Linked DNA regions of Mus musculus: all the other regions are reported to be linked to region 3. Evidence: microRNA targets listed by miRTarBase, many of them from high-throughput screens and not tested one by one. Region 3 holds a microRNA gene; each other region holds the end of a gene's coding sequence.

What was found. Region 3 holds the annotated microRNA mmu-miR-3089-5p (UGAGUUCAGGGACAGCGUGUCU, at 1,644-1,665, opposite strand). A microRNA usually pairs through its seed, bases 2 to 8, with sites in the 3' UTR of a target mRNA and lowers its output. Matches are read on the target gene's strand: a 7mer-m8 pairs with bases 2 to 8, a 7mer-A1 pairs with bases 2 to 7 and ends in A, and an 8mer does both.
Region 1: miRTarBase lists Spg21 as a target of mmu-miR-3089-5p. Seed matches in the 3' UTR shown: 8mer at 1,398-1,405.
Region 2: the mRNA of Gje1 is a reported target of mmu-miR-3089-5p. Seed matches in the 3' UTR shown: 7mer-A1 at 2,273-2,279 and 7mer-A1 at 2,244-2,250.
Region 4: miRTarBase lists Slc8b1 as a target of mmu-miR-3089-5p. Seed matches in the 3' UTR shown: 7mer-A1 at 1,052-1,058 and 8mer at 1,080-1,087.

What each region holds. Positions count from the first base shown.
Region 1 is chr9:65,486,267-65,489,444 of GRCm38, forward strand. Spg21 (SPG21, maspardin) reads left to right here. Exons shown (of 9, transcript NM_138584.2): 9 at 567-2,204. The coding sequence ends at 683. Ankdd1a (ankyrin repeat and death domain containing 1A) reads right to left here. Exons shown (of 15, transcript NM_001370871.1): 15 at 2,205-2,826. The coding sequence ends at 2,735. Among named protein-coding and RNA genes, the nearest start is that of Spg21, 27 kb to the left of the region's middle.
Region 2 is chr10:14,713,856-14,717,033 of GRCm38, forward strand. Gje1 (gap junction protein, epsilon 1) reads right to left here. Exons shown (of 3, transcript NM_029722.2): 3 at 1,771-2,959. The coding sequence ends at 2,564. The region is part of intron 1 of 1700016L04Rik (RIKEN cDNA 1700016L04 gene); the gene reads left to right. Among named protein-coding and RNA genes, the nearest start is that of Gje1, 2.8 kb to the right of the region's middle.
Region 3 is chr2:30,719,709-30,722,886 of GRCm38, reverse strand. Mir3089 (microRNA 3089) reads right to left here and starts at 1,677; the gene lies at 1,594-1,677. It overlaps Gm14488 (a long non-coding RNA gene), which reads left to right and starts at 1,700. Exons shown (of 4, transcript XR_866106.3): 1 at 1,700-2,914; 2 at 3,017-3,178. It overlaps Gm39782 (a long non-coding RNA gene), which reads left to right. Exons shown (of 3, transcript XR_866107.2): 3 at 174-1,324.
Region 4 is chr5:120,532,722-120,535,899 of GRCm38, forward strand. It overlaps Slc8b1 (solute carrier family 8 (sodium/lithium/calcium exchanger), member B1), which reads left to right. Exons shown (of 16, transcript NM_133221.2): 16 at 139-1,303. The coding sequence ends at 336. It overlaps Tpcn1 (two pore channel 1), which reads right to left. Exons shown (of 28, transcript NM_145853.2): 28 at 1,436-3,178. Among named protein-coding and RNA genes, the nearest start is that of Slc8b1, 23 kb to the left of the region's middle.

The sequences.
Region 1 (3,178 bases), not on the chromosome of region 3:
CAGCCAGCAGCCTCTCCTACTTACCAAGCTTGCTGCCACTGAGGGACTATCTCAGAAGACAGGTGGACGGCCAATGGTGGTTCAGTGAGTAAAAACTGTCACCAAGCCCGACTACCCAGTTCAGTGCCAGAAAAATACAGAGGAAGAGACAGTCATCTCCCACAGTTTCTCTGACTTCCACACATATACAAAGTAAATTGTAATTTCTTAAAGGAGCCCTCAGGGGCTAGAAAGATGACTCAGCAGCTCAGAATACTGGTTGTTCTTAAGAGGTCCTGAGTTCAATTCCCAGCAACCACATGGTGCCCTGTTCTGGTGAACAAGAAAACAGCACTCATACATAAAGTACCTAAATAAGTAAATTTTTAAAAAGGGGGACAGGGGCCCCCTAAAGAGTGACACTGATGTTGCTCTCTGCCCTCCACATAATCTCAGAAAGATTCAGGACTAGAGATAGGGGTCGCCCATTGGTGGAGCCTTTGTATAGCACTGCGAAGCCCTCGCTTCAATCCCAGCAGCATAAAACAAAACCCTCACAACAGCTAAAGTAATCTGCACTCTTCCAGATACATCTGCTGCAGTTCCATGGAACCAAGTACGCTGCCATCGATCCGTCAGTGGTCAGTGCGGAGGAGCTAGAGGTGCAGAAAGGCCGCCTCGGCCTCAGCCAGGAAGAGCCATAGATGGGGCTTGAGATGCCGAACCACCCTGCTCTTGCACAATCAGTTCGGGTTCGTTGGTCGGGCACACTGGTCCTCACCCTTCTGGAAGTCGGACTGATTGTCAATCTCATGACAGGCGTCAGCTCTTCTAAACCAGTGTGACTGGCCCCTCTCCACATTTGTTTTTGTTTTAAACTTTTAAATTTGAAGAACTTTTAAAGACTCCCATTTTAAGAATTGTGAAAATTTTGCTACCAAAAGTCTTCTCCACTCTGTTCATCTCAAAAGCTTGGGATCATGTGGCGTTCTCTCTTTTCCTGCTTTCTATAACTGCTGCACCCACCTCCAGGTTAGAAGAGGAGCACCGGTCATTTTTATGCTTTCTTGGGCATAACCAGAGGGTCGAGGCTGGCAGCCTGCTGGCCACTCCCTACACATCAGCTTTTTTGCTTTCCAGTTGAGCACATCATTTTGAGTATTAGCTGTTGTATTTCTAGACATTACATTTGGAATAAAAATTGAATTTCAGCCAGTGGCTTCTGTGATGAGTGAGGCTGCCCCTCTGGGCTACTGGCCAGTGCTGTGTGATGTCGGGTGAACAAGTCCATCACTCTGACTGCAGCACGGCTGGCTGTTACCTGCTGACTGCCGCTGTAGCCTACGTGCTCTTTTAATCTTTTTCACTAATGGGATTGTTAAAAAAGAGATAGAGTCTCATTTAGGCTAGGCTGGCCTTGAACTCATTATGTGTCAGGGCTAGCTTAGAGCTCCTGATCCCCCTGCCTCCACCTCCCAAGTGCTAGGATTACAGATGTTATCCTGAAAGATCACCAGATGCCCGATAGAAGTGGTTTTAATACATATGGAGAACATAGTAAACTGTCTCCAGCTCTTGATCCAATGTAGAAAACGTCCAGCCTGTGGATAGCCTTGTCTCCCTCCCGCACTTTTCTACATCCCTTCCTATCCTGGATGGCTATAAAGCATTTCCATGTGTCCTTTCAAGAGATATGATAGGATACTTGAGACGCTGGGGAGATGAGTCTGTGAGTAAAAGTGCGTGCTGGACGAGCATGAGCACTTGAGACCGCCCAGTGCCCGTGCACAGTGTCAAGAGTGTCCAGGCAGCCTGTAACCTCAGATAGCCCAGTGCCCGTGCACAGAGTCAAGAGTGTCTAGGCAGCCTGTAACCTCAGATAGCCCAGTGCTCGTGCACAGTGTCAAGAGTGTCCAGGCAGCCTGTAACCTCAGATAGCCCAGTGCCCGTGCACAGTGTCAAGAGTGTCCAGGCAGCCTGTAACCTCAGATAGCCCAGTGCCCGTGCACAGTGTCAAGAGTGTCCACATAGCCTGTAACCTCAGATAGCCCAGTGCCCGTGCACAGTGTCAAGAGTATCCACACAGCCTGTAACCTCAACACTAGCTGCAGGGCATCCATTCTCTGGCATCTGCCCACACATACACAGATATATACACCCATCTGTATACAGGTATCTATACAGTAACAAAGAGGTTATTTGATAATAAAGGTTGAAATATCTGTATATGTAAGGGGTTTTATTCAGTTCACATAGTAGAAAATTTATACAATATACACACATATAGAAAGCTATAATTAACATTTTGAAAAAATTAACACTTATGGGAAATTATTGACATAAAGCTAGAAAAAATTAATATCTTAACTATAACCATAAAAAACAAAAATCTTGGGCCAGCAAGATGGTTCAGCAGGTAAAAGCCCTTGTCACACCAGCCTGATAACCTGTCTTCAACCCCCAGAAACCACAGTGGAAGAAGAGAACCATGTCTACACATTGTCCTCTGCCTTGCATGTGTGTGCTGACACATGTACATGCCCATGGTCATACACACATAGTAAATTCTAAATAAGCTGGCATGGTAGTGCATACCTTTAATCGTTAGCACAGCAGAAGCAGGAAGGTGTCTGTGACCATGAGGCCAGCCTGGTCCACACTGTGAGTTCCAGATCCATAAGGAACACCGCCCCCCCCCTCCTTAAATAGAAACCAAGACTCTTGGCAGGAAGATGGCTGCTTCAAAGCAACAGGTTTACAGCTGTATACTGAAGTAAGTAACTGACTGCAGGTGACCATGGGATTGATTCATCAGGAGCTTAGTGGGGTTCTCCGAACACCAGAGATCTGCAACAACACCAAGAGAAAGTACCATCTACCATCTGGCTGAATCCCCAGCCTTCCCCTCTACCCCTGCACATACACACACATACTACACAGAAAGGGACAAAGAGCTTGCTATTGCAGTTTCCTGGACCTTGAAGACTGATAGCCTTAATATATAGGAGCTCCAAAGTCAGCAGTGACCCGGCTTTGGAAAAGGAATTCACGTAACTCCCAAAGACCTCACTGTGCAGTAACCAGCAGCCATCTTGAGAGGGAACCTACCTTCTGAATTTGGACTGCATTGGAAGTCTGAAACACATGCATATTCCCATCTGCGCAACCCTATAAGCACTCCACCGCATTAGATGGCTTA
Region 2 (3,178 bases), not on the chromosome of region 3:
CCAAAACAGTAAAAGGGGAAATTTTTCTCTTGCTGAAATCATGAGGAAAATTTTTCATTCTTTCAATATTATGTGGTGTTTCCAAAGATTCATTCATGTATGTGTATATGTATTTGTGTGTGTATATGTATATATGTAATCAAATTTAGGTAATTTTCATATTAAGTGAAAAGTTTGATTTTGTTTATTTTATCAGGAATGACTGTTATATATAATCAAATTCTTTCATTGGCATCTGCTAAGACGGCTATGTGGTTTCTTCTTTATTCTTTTAACACAGGTCAAGCACATCAATTCCCTTTGAGTGTTTATAAAATGTCTCTAATTTCCAGGATAAACCCAACCTGTTTAATTTGTACATACATAGCTGGCTTACATTTGCTTATTTTTTGCTGGGAATTTTGACACCAAAATTATGATACAAAATTAAGCTGCTCTAATTAAATAAAATAAAAATATTTTCCAATCATCCCAGCACAATCATGCTTAAGAAGCTAGGAGGCTCCTTTTTCTTTCTTCCTAAAGAGATGTTGCAGTGTTCGCTCTTCTTCAGACATCTGACGATTTCCACCAGAGGCCGTCTGGATGTGGAATTTTCCTTATGGAAGGGACTTGAATTTGAATTTTTAAAATAGACTTAAGTATATTTGTAATTTTATGTATTTTATCAGTTTCTCCTGTCTAAGTAATATGGGTTTCAAAGACTTTCTTCATCTCACTAAACTTACTGTTAATTAGTCAACTACTCTTATAATCACGTTGGTGTCTATCACTTTTTGTTTATTATAAGGCTGATTTGTTTTCCTTCATCATCTAAAACTGTGTAACTGAAAACTTAATAGTTTTAGCAAGATTCTTTTAACCCGTTTTCTCCTAACTTTCATCTTTCTATGTTTTGTGTGTTTAGTTTCATCCTTATCTTACTTAATCTTTTTAGCTAGTTGTTTTGATAATTTCTTAAAGTGAGAAGATAAATATATTTATAATTTTTAGTGACATAATATAGAATTTTTATAGGCTTCCAAACACTGTTTTAATTCTTTAAACAAATTCCAGTAAATTCTGTTTTCAGTATCATTTGGTTATTGTACATTTTAATTTCTGATGCTTTGTCTTCATTATTCCATGGATTATTATAAATTTATCAGTGATTTTCTGAAATATTTAGACACTTACTAAATACCTTATTTTTATTTTATTTACAGTTTACTTTCATTATGACAGGTCACTACTCTCTAGATGTATCATTGGACAATAGAATGTGACCTCCTCTGTTTACCAATTTTTGCCTTTAAATTTGACCTAGCAATGTAGTACACATTAAATAATAGGTCCTCCGTAGCTATTTGTTCAGTGAAACAAAGTTGGATTTGCTTCTGTGCTTCTATGTATAGCTATATCAATGGTTTTTAAAATCCTAATACAGAATTTTTAATATCAAGTATAAGCTAAACAGTGCTTAATAAAAATTCCAAAATTTCAGTATCTGACTCTGTGTGGCTCCCTACCAAAGTGCTGGCCAGCATAAAGCATTAGGACATACAGGATTTTAAATGACACGTGCTGAGGATGGTTGTTGATAATACAGGCAATAGAAAGAAGTACTCTGATATTCTGCAAAGTTTCCTATGGCATGATGCCAAAACTGTTGAGGAATTATAGTTTCATGGAAACAAAATTTCCATTTCAGTACTTTTTAATATGAAAGTTAATTGTTGCAGAGGATGTATGGAAACAACAAAAACCAAGGAAGCCATACACAGTGTTATTCATAACAACTCTAATTTATTCGGCAACTATCTCCATAATCATTTAATATTGATTCCAGCAAAACAATATGGGTTTTAATATTTAAAAATTCAATTGCTTGCCTTCTTTGAGTTAGTGATTAAATTATATGACTTTTAATTAATTTATATTTTGTGTTTAAAGGTATATTTTACACAAATGCAAAGATAATTATGTCTTTGGAGTTAAAGACACATGTTTCAGTGTGTAGGGAAAGAGGTAAATTCTGGTTTGGTTGTGTGACATGGCACATAAATATCATCTCTGAACATCAAATTTCCAGTCTTTAATCTACATAAGAAGTCTCTTTGGCCAAAAATAAGGTGATCACTTAAAGTATTGTACATGAGAGAAGCCTGTACATTTAGTATTTTAAAAAATGAGCTATCGCCAGTTGGTGGTGGTGGTGCACGCCTTTAATCCCAGCACTCAGGAGGCAGAGGCAGGCGGATTTCTGAGTTCGAGACCAGCCTGGTCTACAGAGTGAGTTCCAGGACAGCCAGGGCTATACAGAGAAACCCTGTCTCGGGAAAAAAAAAAAAGAGCTATCATTAGGCTTACATGTACATTATTACATAATAAGTTATACCATTACAATAGGAGGAAATATTTGCTCAAAAACACCTAGTTTAGAACTTGGTATCCTATTTTCTAGTATACATAAATTATAGACACACTAAAGTTTAAAGAACATTTGGAATTGAAATACTTGATGGGAAAATTAAGTATAAATGACTGATAGGAACTATGGTATGGTAATAGGCTATCAACCCGGTCATCGTTTAAAGAGAAAACATGATCTTCTAAATATGATCTCAAAAACCTCAGCAACACATAATACCATCGTGATCACAGTAAATGTGTACATTGCAATGAGGAAAATAGTCTTTTCAAAGTGCTCTGGAACCATGCATTTTAGAATATTTGGTTTTTTACCAAGAGATTCAGTATCACACAAGTATATCGGCTTCACTTGGAAGCCGAAGAGGTGAATCTGAAGCCAGAATGCGAACACCTCCAGGCTGATTCTTAACAAGACCGAGAGGACGTAAATCACAGTGTACACGGGCTTCTGAAGAATGCAGTCTTGATTGATGCTTTTGCATGCAGCATACAGGTGGAAAATAGCTCCAGGAAGCAGGACAATCACTAGCTGCAATGCCCAGAACACCTAGAGCATACCAGAACTATTTTAGTCAAATCAAATAAGCAAAAACCAAAGACACGTGGAGAATTTACAAATTCATCAAGGGCTAATTTAAAAATTGTACATTTTTGCAAATACCTAATAAAAATGAAATATGATGAATAAATATACTGGTGCTGACATATGATTTTAGAACTTTAAACATAATGGCGGTTGGAAATCATATTTTATTATCACTGGTAT
Region 3 (3,178 bases):
CAGAGCGGGCCAGGGCTGAGCAGATTCTGGTTGTTATTGTTGCTGTCTGTGGCACCCTGAGTGCCTGCCCCAACACCCTCTAGGAGACTCTGGGGAATTTTCCAGAGCTTCAGGGCTGAGTTGAGCACAGATCTCAGAACTCCTAATGTTTGTTTCTTGTTCTCCTTCCCCAGCCTCCTGAAAACACGGATCCCCATCAGCCTAAAGTGGTCTGGGAAATGCTTGGTCTTCCTTACACTGATTCCTGTGTCTTTTTGTTGGGCTTTGGGTTGGAAAACTCTAGAAGAACCTAGATCAAATTTTAGAATTGAACCCTGAGGGTCCAGGCTTAGCTCACCCAGCAAGGCAGCTTCCCTGGCCTATGCAGCACAGCCACCTGCCTTACGCTGAGCTCTGGCTCCTTCAGAGGCCTCTGGCATTACCAGTGCTTCTTGGACAGTGTCTTGTTTCTGAACTTTAGGCCACAAAATAGAACAGACTGGGGTGCCTTTGGACCCAAGGGTAGGAGGACAGAGCTGTACTCCCAACTGAATTAGGAGGCAGAAAGACTGGGGGGTGGGGGGTGGGCATGGCATCCACAGAGAGGCAGGGGTGTGGGAACCCTCTGAGGGTGCCGGGCAGGGGCTGTGGGCCAGGCCTGGGAGCCTCGGGGAGGCCGGCAGGCACAGAGAAGGAGGCCTCCTACCAGACACTGTCTAGACGCAGCAATTATTGTCAGCTCGGAACACCCAGGCTCTGCCTGTGCAGCTGAAAAGGAGCTTAACAAAGAGAGAGGGAGGAAGAAGAAAGCGGAGCAGAGCCGCTCTGAGCCTGCCTGCCCGCCTGCAGCCCGCGGCTCTTTCTCTGCTTGGGCTCCCCCCCTCTTTGTGTTCCACAGGCACTGTTGAGGGGACAGCTCCTCACAGCTCAGAGATGCCTGATGGGGACAGAGCAGGAGGTGCAGCTCTGGGGCCCTGGCCAACTCTTCTGAGCTAGGCTTCTCAGAGTGGATGCTGGGAAGTCTGGGTCTTGTCCACTTTAGAGGGCTCTAGCCTACACCCTTGTCATACTGATGGGGAGCCTTGGGTCACGGAATGACAGCCTGACACCTACCCTCCTCTGCTTCCAAGGAGCCAGGCACTTTGTAGATAGGGTTAGGGGTGGGGGCTCAGAGAACACAGTCAGCCGTGGGGTGGCTTCAGGTCTGTCCTTTAGATCTGGGCCTTATTCTTCTCACCCTTGGGAGGAGGTGAGAGGGCAGGGCCAGCATAGCTTTGATGGGAAGCCCACCCTCCCCCGCCAGGACAGGGTTTCTCTGTGCAGCCCTGGCTGTCTTGGAACTAACTCTGTAAACCAGGCTGACCTTGAACTCATAGAGACCCTCCTGCCTCTGCCTCTTGAGTGCTGGGATTAAAGGTGTGTGCCATCACTGCCTGGCTGGAAGACTGTTATTAGCCGTGGCAGGCCCTTCAGAGCTGGAAGATGAGCACTTTGGATTCCATATGTGTCCTAGAACCTTCCCCCTCCTCTCAGTTGCCATTCCCGAGACCCCCTTGGCGTTGGCAGCAGTGGTGCTCAGAGTGTAGGGGTGGAGCCTCAAGGCCCTGGGTTTCTGCAGCTAAAAACACAGCTCAGGATCAGCAGATGCTCAGACAGAGAAACTGAGACACGCTGTCCCTGAACTCAGTTGCAAGCCACCAGCTGTTCCCCTTATCTCCCTGTTCCAGGGCATCTGGGCAGGGGCTCTGCTCTCAGCCCAGTCTGTAGCTCTAACTCTACCCACTAGCTTAGGCTCATGGAAAGGACCTACTGTGTGCTCAACTCTGCTCTCCTCTTGCCAGCAGTTGGGGTTGGGGGCCGGGTGGGGAGTGACTTGGTGGGTGGGCACCTTCTACATCCTGTGGAGGTAATGAGCAGTCCCAACCTACTGCTGGGGAAAGGCCTGAAGCTGGTCAGGGCTCCAGAGTGACTGGGTAGGGGTAGCTGGGTCCCTCTCAATCCTTCTCAATTAGAGACAAGGCCCTCAGAGCAAGAAACATGCATACCTGCCCTTACATCACACCCGAGGCCTCTTGATCTGTCCCCAGGACCTTCCCAGGCTCCAGGCATCGGCCTGGCCTGCCCGAGGCTCAGCCCTGCTGGCCACACACTGTCTTGTCTGCTGTGTCTCCCAGTACTCAATTATAGGAACAGAACCCTCCTCTCTCCCTCTGCACCATTACCATAACAAACCTGATTCCCCTGCCTATACTGCAGACCCACCGGGATCAGCCGGTCCACCAGGATTCTAGCATATTCTGCAATGCCACTGCAGCTCCCTCAGCCCTCCCCACTGGGTCTTCCTTTCACCTGGCGCTCTGAGCCATCTCTACCAGACCCTCAAATATGCGAAGCTGCCAGCCTGCTCCTGTGAGTTGTCCCCTGCCTCCTGAACAGCACCAGCCCTCCCTGTCACATAGCCAGCCCAGACAGCTTTCTGATTCCTCCCGCATCTGCACTAGGCTGGTCTTCCACCATGGCACAAACCAAGCTTGAGTTCAGCCCCCAGTTCCTAGCCTCTGGGAGCTTTGGAGACCTGTTCTCTCTGCTCCATAAAAGCCTGCCAAACCTTCCAGAGGCAGGAATTGATAGACCACTTGGATCTGAGGCCTGAAGACTGCCAGTCCTGTCTTCCCTGGCTTCGCATTAGTTGAGTTAGTCATCCCAGTAGATCCTCATGCACCCTTCTCTAGGACACTTCTGACCCCTGCTGAGATCACACACACAGCCAGTCTGCCTAAGTCCCTGATATTTCAGCCTTCTTGGGGGCACCCAATGCATTTTTTATGGCTCGCCACGCCTGCGAGCCCTGTGGGCCAGCTGTCTCTGGCTTGTCTCACTCTGTGAACCCAGCTCCTGCTTCTGAGGTGCCTTCCCAGCCTGACACCACCTAGAGGTAGGAGAAGTGACTTGGGCCCACACCCCCCCCCCCCCCCCCCCCGTAAGTGAATCCCTCTCGGCCCAAGCACCAAGGCAACCTCTTTGTCCTCTTTCCCAGGGCCTCCATGCAGACTCCCAGGAGTCACCGTGAAGGCCAGAACAAGGCTGTGCCATTGTGCTGCCCACTGACCTGAGAGCACTCCCAGGAGCTGGAACTGCCTTGTGCCCAGTTCCTCCCTCAAGCCCCCATGCAACTAGGCCAGTCCACAAGGACAGGAGG
Region 4 (3,178 bases), not on the chromosome of region 3:
GGATGTGGACGCTGATAGAGACAGTACCACGTGGCAGACCCCATAGCTGTGTACCAAGGACCCAACACTCCCTTCATGGTGCACATGGCCCAGAAGGCTCCCAGGGTGGGGACTAAACAACTCCTGTTCTCCCCACAGCTGGAGCCAGACGGATTACTGGTGTGGGTGCTGGCCAGTGCCCTGGGCCTCAGCTTGATCTTCTCCCTGGTCTCCGTGCCGCTTCAGTGTTTCCAGCTCAGCAAGGCTTACGGCCTCTGCCTCCTCCTCTTCTACATCTGTTTCCTTGTTGTGGTCCTGCTCACAGAGTTTGGGGTGATTCACCTGAAGAAGGCGTGACTGAAGCTGCTTGGCCTAGAGGTGTGGGGGCGATTCTGCTAGCCTCCTGAGGGGGAGGTGTGGGGAGGGGGACCCTCTGTGGTCCCCGTGGATCTCCTGAGAAGATAGTCACTGGCAGAGCTCTGCATGGGTGAGAAGGTCCTGACTGCCGGCACCTAACAGCCTTAGTGTGGGGATCTGGAGGCTGGCTTTGCTGGGGACAATCCCGGGTAGGAATGATGGGATCTAAATGACACCGGAGGCTCTGGGGGGAGGGCAGCCTTTCAGTCAGCCCCCATGCCTGCTGGGCTCTGGGCAGCCCTGCAGTTCCCTCTCTGGCTCTTCCACTCTCTGTGGGGTCCTGCGTACCTACAGGGTGGCCTGAAAACAGACTCCACACGTGGAAACAAGACTGGGTTTCTCAGCTTCCGTGTCAAGTCAGCCAGAGGAAAGAGGTCGAGTTGACAGCAGCAGGCACTGCCCTTCCTAGTTGGTGGCTGCCATGTTGGACTGTGGATCTAAACACTTCTAGAGCTTTGTGGTCCAAACTCTGGCTCTCCCGTCTGCAAAACAGGAGCCAGCCTGGGCTCTGTGCCTACCTCAAGGGGAGCTGGGGGTTGGGGGGACTGACCCTCCCCAGGGAGGTCTTACAAGTAGTGTGACCAGTCTTTTGTTTGTTTGTTTGGTTGGTTGTTTTTTGGAGACAGGGTTTCTCTGTGTAGCCCTGGCTGTCCTGGAACTCACTCTGTAGACCAGGCTGGCCTTGAACTCAGAAATCTGCCTGCCTTTGCCTCCCAAGTGCTGGGACTAAAGGTGTGTGCCACCACTGTCCAGCTTGTGACCAGCCTTTTAAAAGTGCCACTCACTCCCTGACTGCCTTCAGCTGTAATTAAGAGACTTGACTGTTGGGGTTTTTTTTTTGTTTGTTTGTTTTTTGTTTTTGTTTTTTGTTGTTTCCAAAAATAAAAGATGAGTTATTTCACACGTACCAGAAGAGTCCCACAGGGTCTCGTCAGTTCTTTGACTGGGCAGGTGACCTTAAGGCTGGATGGTGGGAACATGTGGGGTCAGTAGTGGCCCACCCACTAACAAGCTGGAAATCAAAGGCTGCAGCCGGGTCTATAAAGCAGAGGCTCTTTTATTGGCACACCAGAAATCTGGGCACAGTGCGTTCCTAGGTAACAAATCACTGTATAAAACCTTCCGACGACGTGGCTCTTAACCCATACAAAATGATTGTCTGCACGGTGTGGAGTAAGGCTGGGGTGGAGGGGGTGGAGAAGCGAGAGGGAGGGGCCGGACACTGTTCCCACAGAGTGCCCTATCCCCACTCGGGAGAAGCAGCGTGGTGGTTCCCACAGAGTGCCCTATCCCCACTCGGGAGAAGCAGCGTGGTGGTTCCGTAGCTGCCCCTGCTAGGCTGTGACACGGAGCCACTAGTTCTCACTCTGCTGAATGGAGGGAAGGGGCATCTAGCTTAGACAGGGATCCCAGGGGTCTCAGCTTACAGCCCTGGGCGACACAGTCTGTTCCCTGCCTGGCTAGCAAGTTTGAGGGTCAGCTTGGTGTGTGCTCAAAGGTGACTCTGTGGGGCTACAGTTTGGCCTGAGGGCCCTGTCTTGCTCAGGCACCTGGCTGGTATGTGCTAGACCCAGGGGTTTTAGTACCTCTACATGGGGCCCAAGACCAGTCCCTTCCACCTGAGCCTGCTCCCCTAGGCTGAGGGTACCTGGGGTAGAGGAAGGGGCCTAGAACCAGGCAGTTGCTCAGAGCCTCCCCCCCCCCACCGCCCTCTTTATAGGCCTCCCCTCTTTCTGCTTCCAAAATGCCCCTCACACACAAAGAAGCTAAGGCAACCGGCTATGGAAATGAAACTGCTTCTCAGGGTTGGGAACTGGAGTCCAAGTGGAGGCCAAGAGCTCTTTGAAGTGGAAGGGACTTGGCCAGTCTCCTGACTCTCTGTGGAAACCAGAGGTTTTTCCTGGGGGATAGTGTATGTATTGGGGGGGGGGGGGCAACTGTGCTTTATTTAAAGTAAAAACATCCGCTTTCCAGCTTGACCCCTGGTTCTGCGGCTGGGAGAACAGGAGGGGGGGGCTGTGCCTGCCCACTCCAACTCCCAAGCAACAGCAGGTTTGGAAGGCCAGGTTAGCCTGGAGGGAGTGCGCAGGGGTGGGGGGGTGGGGGTGCTAGGCAACTTCGGGCCCTGCCCACCTTCAGCCCCTTGTGGACAACACAGCAGGGCTCCATCGCTCTGCCACCATATACTATGGTGGCCTCAAAAGAACTCCCACAAGTCACCTGACCTGACTCGCCACCCCTACCCACCTAGCTTATGAGAATCTTGGAGGAGGCAGTGTGAAAGTGTGGTTGGTGAGGGGGGCTGCCTTCAGCACCAGTTCAAATGAACTCCCCTGAGCAAGTCAAATTCCCAGGGCCTCTGGTTGGCTTTCTCCTGCATGGAGGGATCCTGCCGGGGGTGGGGGTGGGGGTTCCCGGGGGTGGGGGTGGGGGAGTTGTGGTAGGGTTCCAGCAACAAGAAAGGACTGGGAGCCTGAGAGAGTAAGCTCTTCTGTCTCCCTCAAGGGAACCTTCTAACACTTTTGTCATTGATAGATGTCATCCTGCAGGGTGTGGGGTTTCTTCCTAGTGGTTTTGATCCTCATACCAGACACAGACACCTGTGTTGGCTGGGGTTCAGGTAGGGACGAAGCTGGAGGCCGCAGTAGGGAGGCGGTCAAGCTCCCCCCATCCCTCCCCGGGGAAAGCCGGCATTGCTGAGACGAGATAGCCTATTTAAGGGGCTTCTTGAGCAGAGGGCTTCCAGAGTTTTCCATGGTAGGACGAGAGCTCCGCCAGGCCT